4 linked regions of the Caenorhabditis elegans genome follow. Changing the gene in region 1 together with any one later gene gives a genetic interaction. Each region holds a gene or a part of one and is shown in the gene's direction. Other genes may lie near its edges. The genes, in order: daf-2, ifg-1, mbl-1 and exc-7.

What was found.
Region 2: of daf-2 (region 1) and ifg-1, changing one enhances a phenotype caused by changing the other (phenotypic enhancement), as found in Caenorhabditis elegans (one study listed by BioGRID).
Region 3: of daf-2 (region 1) and mbl-1, changing one suppresses a phenotype caused by changing the other (phenotypic suppression), as found in Caenorhabditis elegans (one study listed by BioGRID).
Region 4: of daf-2 (region 1) and exc-7, changing one suppresses a phenotype caused by changing the other (phenotypic suppression), as found in Caenorhabditis elegans (one study listed by BioGRID).

Annotation. Positions count from the first base shown.
Region 1 is NC_003281.10:3,037,847-3,042,402, reverse strand, and holds the start of daf-2 (Insulin-like receptor subunit beta), read left to right. Parts: upstream 1-1,556; 5' UTR 1,557-1,621; intron 1,622-4,556. UniProt on the Caenorhabditis elegans protein: Insulin receptor-like tyrosine kinase which regulates metabolism, controls longevity and prevents developmental arrest at the dauer stage.
Region 2 is NC_003280.10:8,215,583-8,221,759, forward strand, and holds ifg-1 (MIF4G domain-containing protein), read left to right. Parts: upstream 1-1,671; coding exon 1,672-1,720; intron 1,721-1,762; coding exon 1,763-1,856; intron 1,857-1,900; coding exon 1,901-2,017; intron 2,018-2,162; coding exon 2,163-3,255; intron 3,256-3,309; coding exon 3,310-3,513; intron 3,514-3,564; coding exon 3,565-4,531; intron 4,532-4,584; coding exon 4,585-5,155; intron 5,156-5,201; coding exon 5,202-5,427; intron 5,428-5,498; coding exon 5,499-5,660; downstream 5,661-6,177. Other genes in the region: M110.3 (E3 ubiquitin-protein ligase MARCHF5), read right to left, coding at 192-347, 400-476, 722-844.
Region 3 is NC_003284.9:16,977,014-16,981,630, forward strand, and holds the start of mbl-1 (Muscleblind-like protein), read left to right. Parts: upstream 1-1,594; coding exon 1,595-1,681; intron 1,682-4,617. UniProt on the Caenorhabditis elegans protein: Binds to RNA with repeat sequences 5'-CUG-3' and 5'-CCUG-3'.
Region 4 is NC_003280.10:9,574,263-9,582,006, forward strand, and holds exc-7 (RRM domain-containing protein), read left to right. Parts: upstream 1-1,708; 5' UTR 1,709-2,045; coding exon 2,046-2,105; intron 2,106-4,026; coding exon 4,027-4,204; intron 4,205-4,930; coding exon 4,931-5,034; intron 5,035-5,537; coding exon 5,538-5,691; intron 5,692-5,799; coding exon 5,800-6,091; intron 6,092-6,185; coding exon 6,186-6,609; intron 6,610-6,657; coding exon 6,658-6,816; 3' UTR 6,817-7,273; downstream 7,274-7,744. Other genes in the region: Membrane-associated tyrosine- and threonine-specific cdc2-inhibitory kinase wee-1.1, read right to left, coding at 7,703-7,744.

The DNA of each region.
Region 1 (4,556 bases):
GTGGAAATTTTAACAAAAAAAATTGCTGATTTACAGTTTAGGAGTGCTAAATTAGGTTTGCAAGACTTTGTGAATCTAATTTTAAATGTGTGTATATCTGTGTGGAGCAGAGTTATGAAAAACTGTTTTCACACAAAAATATAGCAAATTTTAAGCTCTACAAGTTGTTAGTTAACAACTTTTTATTATCTTTCCTCTTCGCTGAGGTACACGCGTCTAAGTGTGGTGAGTGCGAGAGCTTAGTGCGGCAGAGCCTTACTTACGACCGTTTATCTCATTGAGGAAAGGTGCTAGCAAATAATTCCAAACTAGTAATCTGTAGAAAATTTTAAGCTCTACAAGTTGTTAGTTGACAACTTTTTGGCAACTTTTTTCCCCGCAGAGATATGAGCGCCAAGCTGTGCAAAGTGCGAAAGGTCAGTGCGGCAGAGCCTTACTTACGACCGTTTATCTCATTGAGGAAAGATGCTAGCAAAAAATTTTTCACTAGTGAATTGTGGCAAATATGAAGCTCTACAAATTGCTAGTTAACAAATTTTTTGTAACTTTCTCCCTCGCAGAGAAATAAGCGCCAAGCTGTGCTGAGTTTGAAACCGCGCGAAGGGCAGAGCCTCATTTACGGCCGTTTATCTCATTGAGGAAGAGTGTTAGCAAAAAATTTTCCACTAGTGAATTGTAGGAAATTTTGAGCTCTACAAGTACTTCATTGACAACATTTTTGTAACTATTTCTCCCGCTGAGATACGTGCCTAGATATACGACCTGGAAATTGAAGCTGAATCTCGAATCTCTTCCCCTCTGGCAGAAAAAGTCGAATTTCCCTCCTTTTTCCTGCTATTTTGAGAAAAAAAAAATAATTACGCAAATGGCGCGAAACTTTTCTGACACTTTTCTGATCAAAAATTAGAGTTATGCAAAGAAACGAAGGAGCTATGTAGTGACGTCATTCTCGAATTTTAAATTTTTTACCAAACCTTCTAATTCTTGTTTTTCTCTCTATTTTTCCTAGTTTCTTTGTTTCTTGAATGTTCCCAAATAATATCGGCGGATTAATTGATAAGGATATCTATCAATGACATTGCCTCCTCTCTATAGAAATCTGTGTAGAAATAGTAAAAGTGCATTAAAAGATGATAAACGACCATCAGATTTCATCTTTTTCTATCTTTTTCATGGCGGAAATGTTGTTTACTTCTTTCGGCCTTGTTTTCCTGGTGTTTTTCCCTAATTTCGTGGGGTTCAAAAGAGTTCAAACCGGTCAAATGTCGCTTTTTTTGCAAAAAATATTGGTAGTAGCAAGTGCGCTCCATTGTCAATTTAGAGTTTTCACCATTTTTAGAGATGTTTTTTGTGCATTTTTGCAATGTTTTGAACTGAAAATTCAAGTTTTCAATTTATGAAATGTAGAAACTGTATTTTTCCATTGAAAAAAAGCTTTAAATCGACATTTTAACTGATTTTAAACATTTTCCCGGGGTACTGTACCTGCGAATGTGTGCAGCGGTGTTTGCGTACCCGCGCTTTCGTTTTTGATTTTTGAATTTCGTTTTTCACATTTTTCTTCGATTTTTCTCAATATTCCAGCTATTTTTCACGGATTTTTATCATTTTTTCGACAAAAGTAAGTAATTTTCTCTTTTTTTCCACTAAAATTCCCACAAAAATCGTAAAAATAGGGAGATTCAGGCGGGTTTTTTGATTTTTCACCGATTTTTTGCTATTTTCTTCATTTCTCAGCCGATTTTAGTCTTTTTTTTTGTCTAAATTATCAAATTTAACCTTAAAAATCTGCTAAACCATCTGATTCTTCGCTCACAGAACGATTTTCCCGTCATTTTCCAGTTTTTCCCAATTTCCGCCCGTAAAATTCCATTTATCCAATTCAAATTACGCCGAATTTGTTGCAATAGTCTTGGCACGGTGCCAATTGGATCTTTTCACGTCATTTTTGACCATTTTCAAGGTCTTTTCAATGCACTTTTAGGCTGCCTTTGTGAAAAAATAACGGATATTCGAAGTTTTTCGTGAAAAAAAGTGGAAAATCTAGGAAAAAATCGAGAAAAATAAGGTTTTTAAAAGATTTCAACAGACAAAACCACAAAATTTGCTCAAAAAAGCAATTAAAAATTGAAAAAATTACTTGAAAATATCGATTTTAAGCGATTTTGTTTTAAAAATACACACAATTTTTAGCGAAATCACACAAAAAATCGAGAAAATCCCAAAAATTTCGTTAAAAACCAACAAAATTAATGTGAAAATTGGTTTTTTCGCTTTAAAATTGATAAAAATTGATAAAAATTTATTTAAAAAATCACACTTCGGTCAATCTCTGGGCCATTTGCAGCAATTTAGCAATAAAAATAACGAATTTTCTGATGTTTTAGGCAGAATTTTGGAGATTTTTAGGGAAAATCTCAAAAAATAACCAAAAATCGCTTTAAAATTGATGAAAATTCCCATTTTCGCCAATTTCTGAACCATTTTTCCGCAATTTTGACCAGTAAATTGCAAAAAATATCGAAAAATTTTGGATTTTATAATCCAAAATTCTAAAATTTCAAGTAAAATTCAGCAAAATTTGGTGAAAAAAAATACAAAAAATTACAAAAAATTGGCTCAAAAATCAAATTTTTGCGAAAAAAATCGAATTTTAGCCCAATTTTCTTCGATTTCTTCCAAATTTTCACTCATTTTTCGCTTTTTTTCGCTCTTTCAATCAGAAATACCCCCTTAAAAATAAATATTTTCCAAAAAGTACACCGACAAACGATGAGCAAACAATCTGTGCCACGTGGGAATTGGTTTTTTTGTGTTTATTTTACAAAAAATGTCAATTTTTTGCTCAATTTTTCAATTAAAAATCGTAATAATTTGCTATTTTATAGTTTAAATTATTGATTTTTAGGTTTTTTTGGCGGGAAAAAAATAAATTTGAAAAAAAAAACGGCGGCGGATGGGGTACAACAACAACAACTCAAAGATCAAAAAACGAAACGCGAAAACATTTGAATTGACCCTTCGTTCTTTTTTCTATGTTTTTTTGCCATTAAAATTGAGTTTTTCGACGTTAAAATGCCGAAAATTCGATAAAAAACTGAAAAAATTGAGTTTTTTCCGGAATTTTAACCCCAAAAACCGAAAAAAAAATCCCGGAAAATCCCCCAGATTTCACTAAAATCTCCAGTTTTACCAACTTTTTTTTGTTAATTTAGGTACATTTTGTGGCCAAAATCAAAAAAAAAATGGTAAATAAACTACCAAAATGTGAAAAATTGGATATTAATTAAATATAAATTGAATTCTGGACAAAATTGAAATTTTCAATTGATTGAACCATTTTTCTATGTTTTTTTGCCATTAAAAATGAGTTTTTGGCGGTAAAATTCCGAAAATATAATTAAAAAATTAAAAAAATTATGTTTTCCCGGAAATTTAACCCCAAAAACCGAAAAAATTCTGGGAAAACTCCAGAAAAATGGGCAAAAATGTAGATTTTTTGGGCCATTTTTTGGCCATTTTTTCGCTTTAGATTTTAATTTTTTATCTGAAAAAAATTGGATTTTTATTCCCCAAATCTAATAATTTCCACAATTTTTTGACACCAAATCCTCTATAAAAATCGTTTTTTTTCATGAAATCTATTCAAAATCTGGCAAAAATTTTGATTTTTTCGACCAAAAACACCTCTAAAATGACCAAAAATCAACGATTTCATGAAAAATGACAAAGATTAGGTCATGTGATGCATTTTTTTTCGTTGTTTTATTACATGATATGGAATTGACAGTGTTCAGAATTTTTTTATTGGTCAAAATTTGGTTTTTCTTTGAAAAAATCGCAATTTATTCTGAATTTTTTGTCAGTTTTTGAACGCCGATTTTTGGCAAATTGCCGATTTTCTGGAAATTTTCAATTCCGGCAAATTGCCGATTTGCTGGAAATTTTCAATTCCGGCAATTTGCCGATTTGCCGGAAATTTTCAATTCCGGCAATTTTGCCGGATATCAATTCGCCGGATTTTTTGAGGGGATTTTTTAAATTACGCAAACCCACAATTTACCGAAACTTTCGGCAGTTGCCGTTTTTCCGGCAAATCGACTAGTTGCCGGTTTGCAGAATTTGCCAAAAATTTGGAAAACCGCAAATTGCCGACTTTGCTGTTTGCCGGAAATTTTCAGTTTCGGGAAATTGCCAGTTTGCCGGAAATTTCAATTCCGACAATTTGCCGATTTTCTGGAAATTTTCAATTCCGGCAATTTGCCGATTTTCTGGAAATTTTTAATTCCGGCAAATTGCCGATTTGCCAGAAATTTTCAATTCCGGCAAATTGCCGATTTGCTGGAAATTTTCAATTCCCGCAATTTGCCGATTTGCCGGAAATTTTCAATTTCTGCAATTTGCCGATTTTCTGGAAATTTTCAATTCCGGCAATTTTCCGATTTGCCGAAAATTTAAAATTTTTCAATTTGGGCAAATGCCAAATTTTCCGAAAATTTGAAAAATGGCAAATTGCCGATTTTGCCGGAAATTTCAATTCCAGCAAATTGCCGACT
Region 2 (6,177 bases), on another chromosome or scaffold:
AGAAAGATAATTTTAAATATTTGGAAACTTCGAATTCATTTAATCAATTATTTCAGTTTCATTTTATGAACATTTCTGGATTTTGTTACAGTTGTATTTTCTATTCCCATCTAATAATACGAGAGGAGAAAAATAAAACAATGTTCAAATTTGTAAAACCCCATGATAGTTTTTTTTTCAGATATTCTTACTTTGTTCCGTTCATCATTCCAACGAAACCGGATACAGTTCTCCATGTTATCCATAAATCAACAGTAATTTCCAGCAAGCCAAACTTATCGATTCCAAAGCGAGGAATTGTCCAGGATTTCCATGATTTGAGTGTTAATTGTTTTTGATATCGTGTTCTGGAAATTGGAATATTCAGAAATTTTCTTCAATAAACTTTAATTAACGTACTGGCACTGAATACACATAACTTGTTGTACAGCATTCGCTTTCGAAAACCACATGGCCAGGCATTGATGATGAACCCACTGAAAAAAAAGTTGGAGTGAAAAACTAGAATTATTCGCGAAAATCGAACAGTTTCTCAAGGTTATAACAAAAATTTTTCAAGGTTCCTGAACTTTCCTAGTTAATTTTAATATCAATTTTCGCAATATTTATTTTGATTCGATAAGCATATTGATTCATGTATCTCTTTTTTAATTTAACACTCATAAATTTAATTTTTCTATTCAATAAGCATAAAAAACATTTTTCGAATATGAAATCTCACGTGAATAGATCCTCGACATCGACACGGATGAACGAAGCTTAACGCATTATCACTTTCCGTTCCGAAGCAGAATTTACAATATTTCTCGGTTTCCTGCTCATTTCCGTCGATTTCTAACGCCATCTTCCGTAACGGTTTGTTTATTTGTTTTTTTTTAATATAAAATCTGATTTCCAAAGAGGAAACCGGATTTCTTTGGTAGATACTTGAAAAGCGATGTGATGAGGGAGAAATAGCGTGCAAAGAGAGGAGAGTTGTGTCGATTTACGCGAGTTGGAACTATGGCAGGCAACTTGTCGCTACGAGACCCATTGTCTCTTGGCTCAGCCTAAATTTATATCGATTTTTCGGAAAAAAACAAACGTTTTGTTGTTTTTTAAACTTGATTTTTGTTTCATAGGTTCAAAATTTTAAATTTCGATCAATATTTATTTCTTCAATGTTTTGAAATCAGGCATTTCGAAATTTATTGATTTCCGGTTGCGAAATTGGTTAAGACTTTGTTTACTTTCTGTTCTGACTGGCGATATCTTTGGAATTTACTCATAATTTTTGTTAAGTTCTTACAGATTCACACGGACTAAACGTAAAACCACTTCTATGCGATTGTATTTTATAGTTTTCATCGATCCATGTAATTTCTCTCGGTGTGCACGTTCTTTAAATTCTGTCGATACATGCACATCTTCTGCTCTTGAGTATGAAGGAGACGATGTGCAGTCATTTTTTATTGTTGACATCACCAGTTTAAATAATCGATATTCTAAACGCTGCGTTCTGCACTTTTTCTGTTCTTGCTATCTGTAGAGAAAACACTTTTACCTTCACTCTGCTCTTATTTTGAAAAATAACGTTATTCCTCCTCCCTCAATTTCCCCTTCTCTAATTATTCTCTATCGTTTTTTATTTTATTAAAACTCTTTTCAGTGACTTCCTCAAACTGAAAGATTATGTCAAACGCTGTTAGTAGGGGGCCTGGGAGAGGGAAGCCGAATCAAGGTAAGTGCTCACGGTTTTTGTCAGTTTTCTAATTCCTTCAAGGTTTTCATTCAGATCACAATGCAGTTCCTATGCAGGATTCATCCCAACAATTCGTGATGCCATTTGTTAACACATCTGGCCCAGTGAACTCAAAGTAAGAAGTTGAAAATATTTTCCATGGCTAAAGTTCTTTTTCAGCTATCAAAGAATGCCAATGAACCAGTCGGCGTATCCACAATATGGCCAACAACAATACAACCAACCACAAACAAATCACTATTATCCGCCACAAGCACCACAGCACCAGCAACAATAGTAAGTTTTTTTTTAAATATTAAATATATTTAGCTTATCATTTCCAAAATTTTACTCACACTGAAAAATAAATTTTCTTAAAAATATGAGTATCCCAAACGCTTACTTCTGTTACCTACCAGTTTTTCATGAATATCATTTTCAGTGGTGGATATCAGCGACCGGACTATGGTCATCAACCACAGATGTACAATCAACAGTACCAAGGCTACCAAGCTCCTCAGCAATACCACCCAGAAATGCCATATCAACCAGCTCAGCCAGCACAACAACAGATGACTCATACAGCTCCACAAGAACCTAAACGGCAAAGGAAAGCACTGGAAATTGTCGATCCAACTACGAAAAAGGCAATTGAAGTGACGCCTCATCTTGCACCAGCTGCACCAGCGCCAGCGGCTCCAGCAGCCCCGATTGCCCCAGAGGAAGAAAAGAAAAAACAAAACATTACTTTAGAATTCTTGAATCAGGTCAAAAATGAACTACATCATGAAGACAGACGACATGATAATCCTCCTGCGGTCCCAGCTGCGGTCCCAGCTGCGGTGCAAGCTGCTGTACTTCCCAATTTTAGCGTACCACCGCCAGCCCTGGGACAGACACCTCCAGCAGCATCCATAGCTCCACAAGTTGTACCGTCCGTTCCGAAAACTCCAGAAGCACCAGCAAAGGCTGATTACGAAGTAAAACAAGCAGAAACCCTTGTGACGCCTGTTTCATCTCCCCATGCATCAGACACAACCACCACTACGCCCGCCAGTGGAACTGCAGAATCAGCATCTACTGTAGCTGATGTCAGAGTTACTCCAACACTGACAAAGGAAGAATCAAAAGAGGAAACTGATGATGATAAATTTGAGGAGAATGATGAAAGAGAAAGTACGCCAGACGTTGCTGACTCTTCTACAGAAAAGACTCCTGAGGAGCTGGAAATCGAAAAAGCACAGAAAGAAGCCGAAGAGATTGAAAAGAAAAAACTTCGCGAGGAAGCTTTAGAGAAAAGAATCGAGGAGCTTATCCTGGCCGGAAGTGCTGTCATCTCGGATGGAACTTTTGGAAGAGATTTCATGGTTACTATTCGCGAAATTGAAAAAGTTTTCTCTCGGACCCCATGTCCACTGTCACCAGCTCAGCTAGCTGATTTCGGATTGGATATCAAAACGATGCGAGTTTCTGATAATAAGAAGCCTAATTTCACACCAAACTGGGCAAACAAAGGAGGAAACCGCCAGCAGGTTGTAAGTTATCATTATTTAATAAAAGCCATAATTCAAACAATATTGTATTTTCAGCCATACCGTGGAAGAACAACCACAGATGGAACCGGGCGTGGCGGTCAGCAGCAAAGAGATCGTATGCACAACAAGCGACCACCAGTTGTTAGACCTTCGATTGAACGAGTTCAGAGAGTTACACTTCCATCATCGAAAGATGCATGGAAGCCAGACCGTCAAAAAACCGCGGAAGCTGTTGCAAGCGAGGAAGCTGCGGTTATTGTAAGTTATTCGTGATTAATCAAAACTATAAACTGTTAAACCAAATTTCAGGAAGTTTGTAAGAAGGTTCGGTCTCTTATGAACAAGGTGACGCCTACATCACAACGTCCTCTCACCGAAGAATTCATTTCCTACAATGTATCCTCCAACGATGCGCAGCTCGCTCAAGTTGTCGAAATCGTCTTTGACAAGGCAGTTGAAGAGCCAAAGTTCTGTGCTTTGTACGCTGAAATGTGTAAGGCTCAGGCGAATCATGAACTATCCCAGACCGGCGGAAAGTCAGCCTTCAGAAATAAGGTTTTGACTCGGACGCAGATGACATTCCAGGATAAAAAAGACATTGATGCAGACAAACTGGCAATCATCGAAAAAGAAGAAGATCCAGTGAAAAAGGAATTGATGCTTGCAGAGGAGAAACAGAAATTTAGACGGAGAAAGTTCGGAGTTATGACGTTTATGGGTTATCTGTATAGAAATCAACTTTTATCCACAAAAATCGTCCAAACGTGTACATTCGAATTGTTCAATTCGATCAAGGACCAAGATATTAAAAAAGAGGATGTCGACGAGGAATCTATTCACTGTGGTCTTCAACTCATCGAGACTGTAGGCGTGATGTTGGATAAATCAAAAGATTCCACGACCGTATTCCTTGATCAATGGTTCCAGAAGTTGGAAGCTGCCAAACCTTACTGCTCAAACAAAATCCGTTTCATGATCATGAATCTTATGGAGCTTCGCAAAGACAAATGGATTCCAAGAAAATCTACCGAGTCTGGACCGAAAAAAATCGATGAAATTCACAAAGATATTCGTCAAGAGAAGATTGAAAATGAGAAAGCTCGTGATCAATATGATCGGGATCGTGATCGTCGTCATGGAGGTGTCAGACCAAACAGCAACTCTCTCAGAAAATCAGTTCCAGTCTCCAGGAATTCATTGGATAGGAACCGAGGAATGCAACACCCTGAACAAAAAAGAGCCGCTGCTGCAGCTAACACAAAACTTGCCTCATCGAGTAAGTATTTTCAGACAAATATTTCTTCAATATTAATTAATTGCAATTTCCAGGTGTTCAACCCAAAAACATCTCGCTCTCTTCGATGGATAATAATACTCTTGGGAAGAGCAAAAAAGAGTGGCATTCTGGTGCTTCTGGTGGAGGAAACACTTCTTCCGAATCTGCCGTTCCAGTCAAATCAGCTTGGGGGCGACGTGATTCCAATGATCAACGCAAAAAGTCGACTGTTGACGAGAAACAGGCCGCTTTAGCTGCTGCAAAGGAAATCAGTGCAATGTCAATTTCTTCGCGGCGATCCACATCACAAAATTCGAATACTGACAAGACCGACGATGAGCTGACTGAAGAAGAGAAAGCTGTCAGAGCCAAGATTATGAATACCGTTAAATCCGATCTTCTAGAAATGTCTAGTGGTGAGCTCTCCCAAAAGGAATTGGTTGACTCTATCACCGATTATGTTGGAAAAGAAAAATACGGTTCGCCGTCATTGACAGTAGTCTATGAGATGATTATCCGAGCTGTGATCGAAAAAGGTTTGAAGGATGATGATCGAAAGAAGTTGGCTATTGCTCTGCGGATGTCATTGGTCAGCAAGACTGAGAAGCAAGCTTTTATAGAGGGGTAAGGCAAGAGTTTATGATTTATTGAGCTTTACAAATTATTTCAGAGCTACCCGTTTCTGCAAATTCGCTAATGATGTTGAGCTCCAGCAAGATTATCCCAAATTGTGGACCGTTACTGGTGAAGTTCTCGTGAACACAAGTCATGCTCCACATGACGAAATTGGAGAAGTTGAATCTTTCTCATTAGCGGACATGAAGCCAATTTTCTCAGCTGCCAAAGGAGAAGGAAATAAGAAATTTGACCTTCTTGTTCAAGTTTTGAAGCAATTGGTGAGTTATTGCAAATTTTAGTGCTCAGATTCAGTACATTGCGTTTATTTTTTTAATTTAATTTTTTTCAGATCGAGCTTGAGCTTGAAGTGACTGGCGCTGCAGAAGGAATCTCGTGGGAGTTTTCGGACATGAAGTTAAAGACTGAGATGGAAGAAGGACTTTCAGCAGAAATGGAAGCAGTGACGTTTAAAAATGGAAAAACGTTGTCGAGCTATTTGACGGGCAACTAATTTATCGTATTTTTGGATTTTCAAACTCCACAGTAGATTTATAGAGAACTTTTTTGTGTGCTAAAACCCATTTTAATTATCTATATAAGAACGAGTTGTTGATAATACGGTCTAAACATGTCAAGTTTTTCGTTTTTTCGCCGCGCGTCCATCCCTACCGATTTTATGTCTTATTGGGTATCCCATTAATGGTTTTCGATATTATTGCTTGTTTTTCTTTTGTTAGAGGTTTGCAAGAAAAGTTTCAAAATGAATAACTGATTATCATGATTTAGCTGAAGTAAATCAATTTTCAGACATTCAGATCATTTTTCCTGCAAACTTCCGCTCATTCTACAACTCGTCTCGAAACGTGAAGATTCTCTTCATTTTTCGTTTCGAGACGCAGAAATCAACTCGTTATAGCCCCTTTCCCACCCACCTTACCCTTTTCTTCTGATGATCACTAAAAATATCACGTTTTCCTCCAAATCATTAAATATTTATATCCTCATTTGGATTCCCGTTTCGTTTATTT
Region 3 (4,617 bases), on another chromosome or scaffold:
AGTTTTAGCAAAAATGCCTTAAATTAACAGACCAACAGGCAAGCTAATGACTGGAATAATTTAGAGCATCATGATAAACACTTTATTTAAGAAATACACTTAAAATAAAAAAAAACCGCGTGGCGTGTACTGCAGAAAACCTAATATTCTTTTTCTCGTCCACCCACGGAGAAAAGACAAAATTCGGGACACCAACCAATATCAGACCGCCGACATCGTACGGGTTCCGCGCGCCGCAGCGTTTAACTCGCTGTGGTCATGGCGAGCTGTCACGTTGCGAGTTAAACATAGCGGCGGGCGGAACCCGTGATATGTCGGCGGCCTGATATTGGTTGGGGCCCGAATTTTGTCTTTTCTCCGTGGGTGGACGAGAAAAAGAATATTAGGTTTTCTGCAGTACACGCCACGCAGTTTTTTATTTTGAGTGTAATTTTTTTCAAGGAAAAAAATATTTTATTTTTTGAATTTAATTTTTTTTCTTAACTTTTCTGCATTGTTAATTCGTGGTTATCGTGAATTGCAGACTATTTTCGGTACTTTAAAACAAGTTTTTCATTTACGCTACTCCACCTTCAACTTCATCATCATTCCATAATAGCTGTGTTATGCGCTGATTAATTCCTTGTGTCTATTCTGAAGTCACGTTTCAATACAACGTGTGAGCAAGTAGCGCACACACGTTGTCAAGTCATAAATCAGCCGAAGACAGGCATACACTTCCCCCAGTTGGGAAACATCAGGTTTTTGGTTTTTAAATTGTGTACTTTTGTTGTGAAGTTTCGCATTTGTTCTGTATAAAAACAGGAACCATTGATTTGAAAAATTAATTCGAGTTTCAAAAAATTATTTAATTTTCGGTCTTTGTGTATGCTGAGAAATTAACTTTCGAATTCATTTTTTTAACGGCAAATTTTTTTGCAGAATTTTGCAGGCAAACATCATTTTTATTTTTTTATTTTTCATTCAAAATTGTAAGAATGCTCAGAAAGCATTCTTACAATCTCTAATATATATATCAGTTCTATTAGTATAGAATACACTATTACACATCTTGCAAAATAAAAACATCAATCTGTTTAAAGTTTTCAAATATGTAGTTTTTTTTTGGGAAATAACCTTTTTAAATGGCCCTTCAACAAATGCTTCACTAAAAATGAAATCAATTTTCTTGTGGTAGCCTATGTATTTCAAAGATTATCTTACAAACATTATAAGTTTCTTCCAAAAGTCTGAATATCTTTAAAAATTAGTCGTTGTTAAAAATCTCAAGTTTTCAAAAACTTACCCAATTTCCGCCAAAAAAACCCATTTAATCTTGTTAGTAGTTTTAAGTGTTCTCAACTCTTGAAAATTCCATTATCATTTTTCATCGTCTACTCCCAACGTCCCATTATTCTCGTTGCCTCCCTCCTACCCTACATACCGCTAAAACTTATCACATATCTATCACATAAGAGTTTACAACGCAAAGAGTGCTTTTTTCACGTCCCCCAACGAGAAAATATAATCACGAGCATTTTTTCGAGCAACTCCACAAATCCATTGGTTATTGTTGGCTGCTGATGACTAATCAATCTTCCTCTCAATTTCAGCAATGTCTCGTAGATCCTTAAAAAGACGTATCAGGCGACAAAATAAGAAGGGGACGGTGTTCAAGAAGGCTCGAATCGACCAAGAAACTGTGAGTGAATCACTTTTTTAGTCAAACATACGTGAAAGGTTGCGGCACAAGTGTACGTTCTGACAGAGCACCAGGTGTTGCGCACATGTAGAAAAGAAAAAAGGGCAATCGAAACATATAGTTTTGTTTAATTTTGAAGAATGATTGTCTTTCCTGGTGTAACAGCTAAATGTCAAAAAAAGTTTACATCAGTACTTTTGAAACTATTATCAGTGGAAAAAAATGTTGAAACTACTGAAATGTTGGCAAAAATAGCCAATTATCATAGAAAAACAATGTTTTATTTGAGAATGATTTATTGACAGTCAAAAAATGGCTATTACAGAAAAGTTTGAGATTTTTTGAGAAAACTTTCACATGTTTGAATCCGCATATTCGAATCCCTACCGTATTTAAATATTGATTTGCAACAATTTCCGCAAAAAAAAAACAAAATTCGTAGGAATTTTTTTTCTAAAAATTCTTCTTCGACTTCTAAAAATTGATAGAAGATAAGTTTCCAACATTTTTAGACTCGAAATAAAAAATTTTATTTAAAAATAGTTTTGCTACATATTTAGTAACTTTTGGATTACAGGAATGGTTTTTAATCATTTTCAACTTGCCGTACTTCATCTATTATTTTGATTTTAGTATTTAATTTTTTGATACTAAAGTTACTAAGAAGTAACTGCACGAATTGGTACTATGAATATGCACTTGCCTTTGTATCGCTTTCTATTATTAGGTTTAAAGGCAAAATTTTGTCAGTAAGGAAAATTAATTAAACTGCTATAATGCTAAAATAAAAAAAAAAACCTTTGAAAACCTTTGAAAACATATTCTCGAGCCTGATTTTTGGTCCGAAAATTTTGAAAGTTTGACTGTTAACAATCACTACTTTTTAAATGTGTGATTGACTTATTTCAACAAATTTTCTGATCTTGCTATTGAGCAACACTATGAATGACAATTTTATGCATGACTTTTATGCGTTTTATTAGAAAAGTACTTCACTATTTTTCAGAGCAATTTTCAGACAATTTTCAATTATTAAAAACAGTATCAGCACTTTCAAAATATCCCATACATCTTTACATATTTAAAACGCTATTTTTTTATCTCTTTCTCTCTGCATTTACCTGAAATTTTTCACAGGAGAAAAATGAAAGAAAATGTTTTGCTTTGACGTCGAGCACGACATTTTTTTGTCTGTCCACAAACGTAACATTCCAACAATACAAACTGTACTTTTTTTTCCAATATACATCTGTCGGTACCCCTCAACTTTCTTTCTTTGATATATAGTGCATCGTTAGTCATTCTAATTTTGTGTACGAAAAGCTAGTTTTTTATTCATTTGTTAAATTAAGTTTGTAACGGGTGCGTCTTTTCTTTGGCTAAAATAGTTGACAATGTGTTTTTATAATAACTGTTTAAAAACGGAAACCTATTAATTTGCCAGTTAAAAAAATTTTGCTACCATATGTGCTCTATTAGTATTGCACCCCATTGTTTAACATTGACAGCTTATATCTCAGCTATCGTTTGTTCTATTCAAAATTTGTTAACTAACAGAATAATTGTTTGTTCTTTTTCTTTCGTAGTTAATAAATTATTGATATCTTTAAAATGAACCGAGATATAAAGTAATGATTCAAAAGAGTAGAGTCAATCCATGGTCCAAAATTTGTATTTCTTCTAAATTAGCATTTATACAAGAATCAATGGACTGTTAAGCTAGTGTTTTTCAACTGATCATGAAAGTGCCACGAAAAACTGTTCACTGCGTCTCCGCAAGTTAGACTTTTAGCCAACGCCCGGTAAATTGACTCGAAAACCTTAAGAAACTGTTTTAGCAAAACTTTTAACAAAAAGTTTTTGTACTGTTTTCTATAAATTCATAAATAATTGGATTTGGTCCGTAGAGCGAATTTGCGCTGACATAGTGCATAACTTTCTGTGATGCGCAGCTGAAGTTAATTTTGGTCCGTACTAATGCATTAAGAGAATCTACGACAAAACTTGAAAACGAACATGAAAACTTTTGGAATCATTTTGAAAAAGGTTTTTGAACTTGCTCTTTCCTTTTTGCGACATTGTGTTGCTGGACGATTTCTGAAAGCTACTCGATCATTTAAAATTTTTTAGCCAAATCCAGTTTAGTTTACCATCAAAGAATTGCAATTTGAGTCATAATGATCCTTTCATAATCCTACCACAAAATTTTCTGCAACAGCTTAGCAAAACAATGAGTGCATAATTAGAAAGTGGAAGTGGTGTTGGAAACTCTCTAGAGACGTCTCTCAAAACCTTTTTTCACGACTCACTCCTTTTGTGAACGAGAAAAAAAATGACGGGGCAACCGAATGAGAAGATATTCCGTTCCTCGTTTCGTTTCGCCATTTCAATGTTTCTAGTCAAATGTGTTGTATTCTTGTTCTACCTATCTTCCTGTCTGCTGTCACATACACAAATCACCTTCCTCTTTCCCCTCAAATGAATATACAAATCAGTAATACTATATATGCGTACTGTATATGAATCAATTCCCCCCCCCCCCCCCCCCTATTATGCATTCCATTGTCCTCGTTTGATTTCATTTGAGTGGCACGATCAAAAACCGTTTTCCATTTTTCACATCGGTGAAATGGTATGGAAACAGGTACTGATTTTGATTTTTGTTCCAGTTTTAGATTCTTAGATAGGATAGGTTTTATTTTGAAGATTACTGTAGTGTCGATTCTTATCTTTATTAACTGCCGATTCCAGATCAAATGATCTTGATGGGGGGGGGGGGGGGGGTAAATGAAAAACTGAATGTCTTTGTTTCAGCGAAATATAATTTTGTGAAAAACATGAAATAGAATTCATTAGGCGCTAAACTAAAAGTTTTGGTTTTACTTTTTTACCAGTTAAAAATCATGACCTTAATAGAAAACGAGTTAATTTCAAAA
Region 4 (7,744 bases), on another chromosome or scaffold:
AGTTTTGCAGTAAACTTTCGAAAATATCCTCCATTGACCGTGCTTTGAACTTTACAGTCTTTGAATCCGTGATTTGTGAAATCGAAAACCCCTAAATCCGAAATTCCCGAAAAGTCCAAAATCGCAAGGGTTAAATGTAGTTTGAAGTACTTAGTAGTCATTTATCTCAAACCAAAAGTCCAAATGGAAGGGCCATACCTAATTATTGGGAACGGATCGAAGGCATGAAATACTGTATCCTGTAAAAGGGCCTGAGCAATTATGAATCTCGCCGACGCGGGGGTACGTACTCTCATCCGGCCGCCCTCTCCTCTGCACCACTTTTCACACAACAATATGGGGGCCACCCCCCTCTACCTAACTAACACATAATTGAGTCCCCCTCTCTACCTATTCAGGTTTTGTTGTTCATTCAACTGTGCGTGTCGTGTGTATTTGTATGGGGTGGGACGAGAGGCGGTGAAGAAGAGGACTAATGGAAAACCACAATTGAAGAGTGCGTTTCATCGTCGATCACCGTTTCTATGGTAGTTATTTTGAGATGACAATGATGTCGATTTTTTTTATTGTTTCCTAGCATTCCATAGTGACCAATTGCCAAAGTTTTGTGCTTAGACAGGTTTTGGGATATTCTCAAGATCAGCGGAATCCTTTTTTTTTGTTGCAAAATTGCAGAAGCATTTGGATATTTTCTTGACTAGATGGTGCAAACTTGCGATGGAGTGTTTCCAGTTCAAGAAAACTGGAATCGGAGCAAGTAACAGGGTTACTGTAGAATGGTTGATGGTATTCTATAGGTTTATTTAACTCGTTCTTTCGTAGCCCCTACGTTTCTTTAAAAATTCAAACTTCCCAGAGCCACAAAATTTCCACCGGGCTTCACGTATTCCCTCTTACCGAACACCTATTCAAATACGTGTCATCTTCAATCCTTTTCCCCTATATCCTTCACTAACCAGGTCAGTCATGTTTGATCAACCATTGTTTCCACACCTGCCCTCACAAAAATCCTCAATCATGATGCGCTCTTATTCTTTTTTCTATGATGTTGGAAATTATGAAATTCAGCTTTCACACTGTATTCTTGTAATGTCTGGACCCTCACTATACACTTATTCAAGCCGTAATTGGCGTGTATACGTATCCATATAATGTGTCAAGTTCACCTGTTTCCTTCATTTCCGTCTGAGCACATGATCCAAAATCTTATACAACTGAATTCCTTTATATAGATTGTGGAAAGTTTCCTGCAATTTCTAGTAGTTCTTGTTTCCTAGTCTTTCGGCTTCTTATCTGCCTTTTTAAAACTTTACCTACCTCATAATCCGTACAGTTCCCATTTTACCTGTTACACACATACACAGGTATTTAGAAACTAAGCATCATACCAGCAATAATAAAAACAATAAATGTTCTTTTCATTGGCAATGAGATATATTCATGCGTCTATGTAAACCAATAACAAAGCTAATTAGAATTGAAAACAACAGGGAATTGAGTGGCAGAGTATAGGTATGTCATGCTGTGCGCTGCCATAATTCTGCAGCTTCAGTTGAGTGGAGTAGGATTGTGAAAAATCATGGTGTACAACTAGTTCTGTAAAGTTTCACTGATATTAAACGTTTTCCATTTACTTTTATTTCACTTCTATTTTTCTTGCTCTCTGATATGTTTTTTTAAATTAATTATCAAACCTATGAAATTACAGATCCATCTCCCCTAGTCTCGGCCGGCCCAAAACGAACGGAGCATATACGGGGAGCCGCGGCACACAAACATACACAAAATATAAATAGGCCACGCCCATTTGTGCATATTTCTACATATATCCTCGCGACGGGCCCCCCGCCCCCCTGAGCCCCTTTTCCTCTTCCTTCTCTTTGCTCTCACAACAACCGGAGCTCTTTCTTTTTGAAAAGAGCCCTCTTTTGTTTCCTGACAGACCAAGTGGAAGAAGTGGTGGTGTGTCAACTTCAGAAGACAACGAACGACGCATTTTTGGATAGGAAATTCGAATTTTTGAATTCCAAAATTCGGTCTTCAAAATGACGATGGAAGCGTTGCTAACACCGAATAACAACAATGTTCCGACGAGTCCCGTTCAGGTAATTTTTTTTTTCAATTTTTATTAGGAAAGATCTATATGAAAGTCCAGAAGCAGTAGAAAAAAAAAACAAAAATAAATACGGTTTTCAAAATCTTTGAACATTGAGGTCTACAAAAAGTCCAGAAATCTACTCGACTGTAACATTTCATATTTTGGTTGCCTAAGATTTTATCAACAAAAATTCAACTAATAAAATATAGAACCATAGCAAAGATACACATTTTAAAAGTAGAACAGTAAACTGCGGTAATTTTGAAGAGCTGTAAGTTTGTTACAGGTTCTAACTGTGAATGGTTTTTTTATTAGTTAAATTAAAAGTTTAAAAAAAGCTTTTAGAACCTGATCATGACAGTTGTTTAAAATTCGGACTAGGTAAACTGGATGCTTAGGCTCCGTTCAGATCTAAAAGCTAAACAAATTGTTGAGCCTTGAATTCTAGTAATAACCATAAATCTGAATATTGTTTCTTCCCCAATGTCCAATCCGTCAGTGAGCCCGAGTCCAAACTTGGTATACATGCGTGTGCATTTGACGTGTCATTCTTTCAAGAAAGCTTCCCAATTCCCAAATGCCAATTTTTCAAAATCCGAGAAGCCTTCTTCCTTACTCTTCTTCTCTTTTCTCCGCCTTTCCGAACCACTCCTTTTCGAAAATACGTCCCATTCATTACGCCTTGAGGGAGGAATGAGGGAGGAATAAGGACCAAAAATAAAAATATTTGTTTTGTGAAAGAGCTCAGAAGCTCAGATTCCTGCGTGCTCATCCACCTATATTATGATGATGTGTTGTGGTGTTGGTGGATGGGAGTGGAAATGACATGAAAATTAAAATATGGAGAGAAAAATTGAAAAATAACAAGAGAATACTAGATTTTTAGATTTCCTGTTGAAAATTGTTTTCTTTTTTTCTAAAAAGTTTTTTGATTATTGAAAAAATATAGCTGAATTAACAATATCATAATTGTGCAATATATGACTAATGAAATTGGTAGAAACGAAGTTTTTTTTTTAATTTAAATTTCTAGAGGTACTATATATATGGAATATTCTAAAACTCAGCGATTTTCTTCAGTTTTTTTGAAGTGTTTCTTCAAAAAATTGATAGAAGACCTATAAATTAAAATTTAAAAACTTTTAAAATTTTGTGAAAATTCAATTCGAAATCTACTAGAATTTATATCACAGTTTTGCTAAATTACGTTCCTCCTCAATACCGGACGGTTCAAAATTTTATTTCTATAAAACGCATATGGAACTCTTTAATCAAAGATCCTATAAAAAACTCTTAAAGTCTATTCATTCCAACAGCGTAGAAAAAAACGTTTGCATATATTTCATTTCATACATTATTCCCTCTCAAATACCCATGGGTATTGTTGCTCTTCCAGTGAGCACACCAGGAGGTGGGAAGAACATGCGGGGGGCTCCATCTCTTCCATATAGACTTGCTCACGCACAGGAAATTTGAGACGTGGCCAAATAATGGACAGCGAAATGGATGAATTCTCCGGTTACTTGTACCGAAGAGCCCTCCCGCGCGCGAGAAAAGAATTGAAATTGAAAATTGAGATCTCCCGGTGGAATGAAAGATTGGAAATCATAGGGGAAATATTTTTGGGTCAGATGTAACCTCCAAAAATGGAATATATAGTCAGATTGGACAAAGATGGCAGAAAAACATAATAATTTATTTATTCCCAAATGAAAAAAATGAACAATTTCCGGGGTTACCGACGCTTCTCACCAATGCTAGGCACCCGAAAATATACGAGGTGTATTATTTATGTAAATTGACAAAAACGGGACTTCTATCTAGGGAGTTCAGAATTTTTTACATCTGAAAATCGTAGATTTTCATTCGAAAAACCGGGACCATTATACAAAAATCGCTTTTAAATTTTAAATTTATATTTTTTGCAGACAACCTACACAAGTACACAACGATACTGCTCCGCGCCAAATGTGGATATTGGAGAATCAAAAACAAATTTAATTATCAATTATCTGCCACAAGGAATGACACAAGAAGAAGTTCGGTCCCTTTTCACATCGATCGGAGAAATTGAATCTTGTAAATTGGTCAGAGATAAAGTAACAGGTGAGGAGGAACTTCTATATTATTCATTATTTTATTTTAAACTTATATATTTTCGAAATCCAAACATTATCTAGCTAGATCACCCCTTGCCTTATCATTTTTATTTCTGACTGATTTTTGATTCCCAACCACGAATTGAGTTGCTCTAACCGTTTTTTGTGTCTCGCCGAAAAAGTTTAGCATGAAACTAGATTTTGACGCCTCTTTTCTGATAGATCACAAATAATTTTATTTTCTTCTTTCGGATCGATTTTTGTAAATCTGTACATGTGTGCGTGTGTGATTGCTGCTGCCCCGCCCGCCCTACTCCCCCTAAAGTTTTTCATTTTTCGGTTATTACTTTTTTCCGTGATGTTCTGATATTCGTTTCAACTTTTCATTATTTTTTTCAAAATCACTCACACACACACACAATTGTACACCAAGAATTCACATTCACTTTTTGTGCTAAACATTTTTGAATAGGGATTGTTAAAATTCTAAAGTTGTGATATCTAAATACTTTTTTGGAATAGTTTCATACCATTAAATCATGTGAACTAATTTAGAATAAGCAGCAAACTGTTTGTAGCAAAAAGATGTAGGGAGATTATTTTTCAGAAAGAGAGCTCTACAAATACAATCAGAAAATCTAAACCCGTAACCTATAAATAATTGTTCTTTTGTTATATTTTCACACTCTTTCTCTCTCTTCTCTCTTCGGCATTTGGTGTTTTTTCATTTCAGGACAGTCCCTTGGTTACGGTTTTGTTAATTACGTCCGAGAAGAGGATGCTCTTCGTGCAGTCAGCTCATTCAATGGCCTACGATTGCAGAATAAGACGATCAAGGTGTCAACTTTTTTTTTTTTTTTTCGGAAAAATATTATTATTTTTAGTTGATTTACATGCTACTTGTCTTTTACTTTACTTTCACTCTTTTTTATTTTCAAAAAAAGTTTTTAATTTTTCAATTGTTTGGGTGTTCCTTTGACTATTAGAAAACACCCCCTTGCTCCTGTTGTGCAATTTTTGTTTTAAGTTTTCAATCTTTTTATTTTAATATTTTAATTTCAAAATTTAATTTCAACTTTAATTTCGCGAAACCCCTTTCCCGATTTATAATGATTTTAGCTTCTAAATGTGTGTCTAAACGTCCGTTAAACGTCTCACGTCTTTCAAACAATCACTAATAGGAGCAATAGATGTGCACAAAACGCTTAGAAAATGTTTAATTATATTTTTACTTGAAAATTCGCATTCTTCATATATGTAAAAGAAAAACATTCACTGGTAAAAATACAAAGTTAAATTTTAGAATATTAAAATTGTAATCTATAACTTGAAATTTTCAGGTATCATATGCCCGTCCATCAAATGATCAAATCAAAGGTTCAAACTTATATGTTTCTGGAATTCCAAAATCGATGACTCTGCACGAATTGGAATCGATTTTTCGGCCATTTGGACAGATTATCACATCTCGAATATTGTCAGATAATGTAACTGGTGTGTTTTTAAAATTATGTGAAATGTGTAAATTTTCAAAATTAAGAAAAATATAGTTGATTGTTTACGGAATATAATTTGTTTCATTTTTTATTAGAGCTATTTCAGGACTCTCAAAAGGCGTTGGATTTGTACGTTTCGACAAAAAAGACGAAGCTGATGTTGCAATTAAAACACTAAATGGAAGTATTCCATCAGGATGTTCAGAGCAAATCACAGTGAAATTCGCAAATAATCCAGCAAGTAACAATCCGAAAGGACTGCTGAGTGATCTGGAAGCCGTACAGCAAGCCGCCACAACACTGGTACCATTGAGCACAATTCTTGGAGCACCGACGCTGAGAGCAACTGCTGGAGGAATCGGACCGATGCACCATGCTCCAATTACTTCAAAGTACAGGTAAGCCCGAAGAAATCTTGATTGATAATAATTGTATTTTCAAGTTTGTATATTCTTCTTTTTACATTTTCAAGACCAATTTCCAATATTTCAGATATTCCCCAATGGGCGCCATCACTGCAGTATCCCAGCCAACCGCTACACTTCCTGCTGACTATTTGACAACTTCTGCGCTTCTTCAGATGTCTCAGTTGAATGCTCTTGCTGGCCTGAACCCTTTTGCCACAGCAACAGCCGTACCTGATTTCACAGCTTCATTAATAGCGCATCAGCAACAACAACACGCAGTTGCTCAACAACATGCTGCACAAACAGCGAGCCCTCCGGCAACAAATGGACAAGTTGCTGGATTAGCAGCTCATGCTCAGTTATCTGCATTGTCAGCTTCAGTTGCTGCCACGTTACCGCCATCAGATACTGCTGGATATTGCCTTTTCGTATATAATCTTTCATCAGATACTGATGATACACTGTTATGGCAGTTATTCTCACAGTTTGGAGCAATTGTTAATGTTAAGGTAAGCAAGAAATTTTAAATGGAAAATTTTTTACTTGAAATATTTGAGATTCTACGAGACCTGACACAACAGTGCAAAGGATATGCATTTGTATCGATGAGCAACTACACAGAAGCCTATAATGCAATGCTTTCTCTGAATGGCACAAATTTGGCTGGAAAGACGCTTCAAGTAGTTTTCAAGTCATCAACTCCATATCGAGCTTAAACTTTTTTGCAAAAATATTCTAATTTCAATCATTCCAGTCACTTGTCTCCCATTCTCTTTTCATTTTCTTCTTCTTCCCCAACCAAAGAAATTGTGATTTTCCCCCTCTGAAATTCCAGTCACTTTTTGTGTGCTACTAGTCACCCCCCCCCCCCCCCCATTGTGTTCCATCCCCTTTCATGAGCAACTGTGAGCAAAACCAATCGAATTCCGGTAACGAAATAAGCCACGCCCCTTGAGAATAATGAGCTTCTGCCCACCCCTGTCCCAAAACCTTGAATCAGCTTTAACATCTTCAAAACTTTTATCAATTTTACCTAAAATATGCCAAATCCTCCGTCACTTTTCAGTATTTCGTACAGTTTTCTGATTTTTATACTGGGTTCCTTGTTTTTCTTTTACAAAGATTTTTTGAAATATTAAAACTAAAATGTGTATAATAAAAATTGTATACCAATTTCAGTGATAAATAATTTATTTTATAGAAAAAAGAAGAACAAAGCTGATGATTAAAACTGAACTCGATTTTCTGATTGGAAGAACTTGTACCAATCGATGATATGAGATGTTAAAAACTGGAATTGATATTTAACCGATTGAACCTGAATGAAAAACAACGGACCTGAAAATTAAATTATTATTTTAAATTGACATTTTGAAAATTTCCCCCGTAATTTTATTGCAATTTTAATTGAAAGTTTATTAATTGTGAAATGTGCTTTTTAAGATGTTGCAAACACCTAATTACTATTTTCACTTTTGAGATATGTTAATTTCTAAATAACTTTTTTTTAATTTCCTAATTTTAATTTTCAAAAGTCAAAATAACAAACGAATTTTATAAAAGAAAAAAGAGCAAACTTACCTGTTAACTTACATTCCCTTCCTATTCATCAAATAAATTTTTCCGTTGGAATAACTTTTGAAT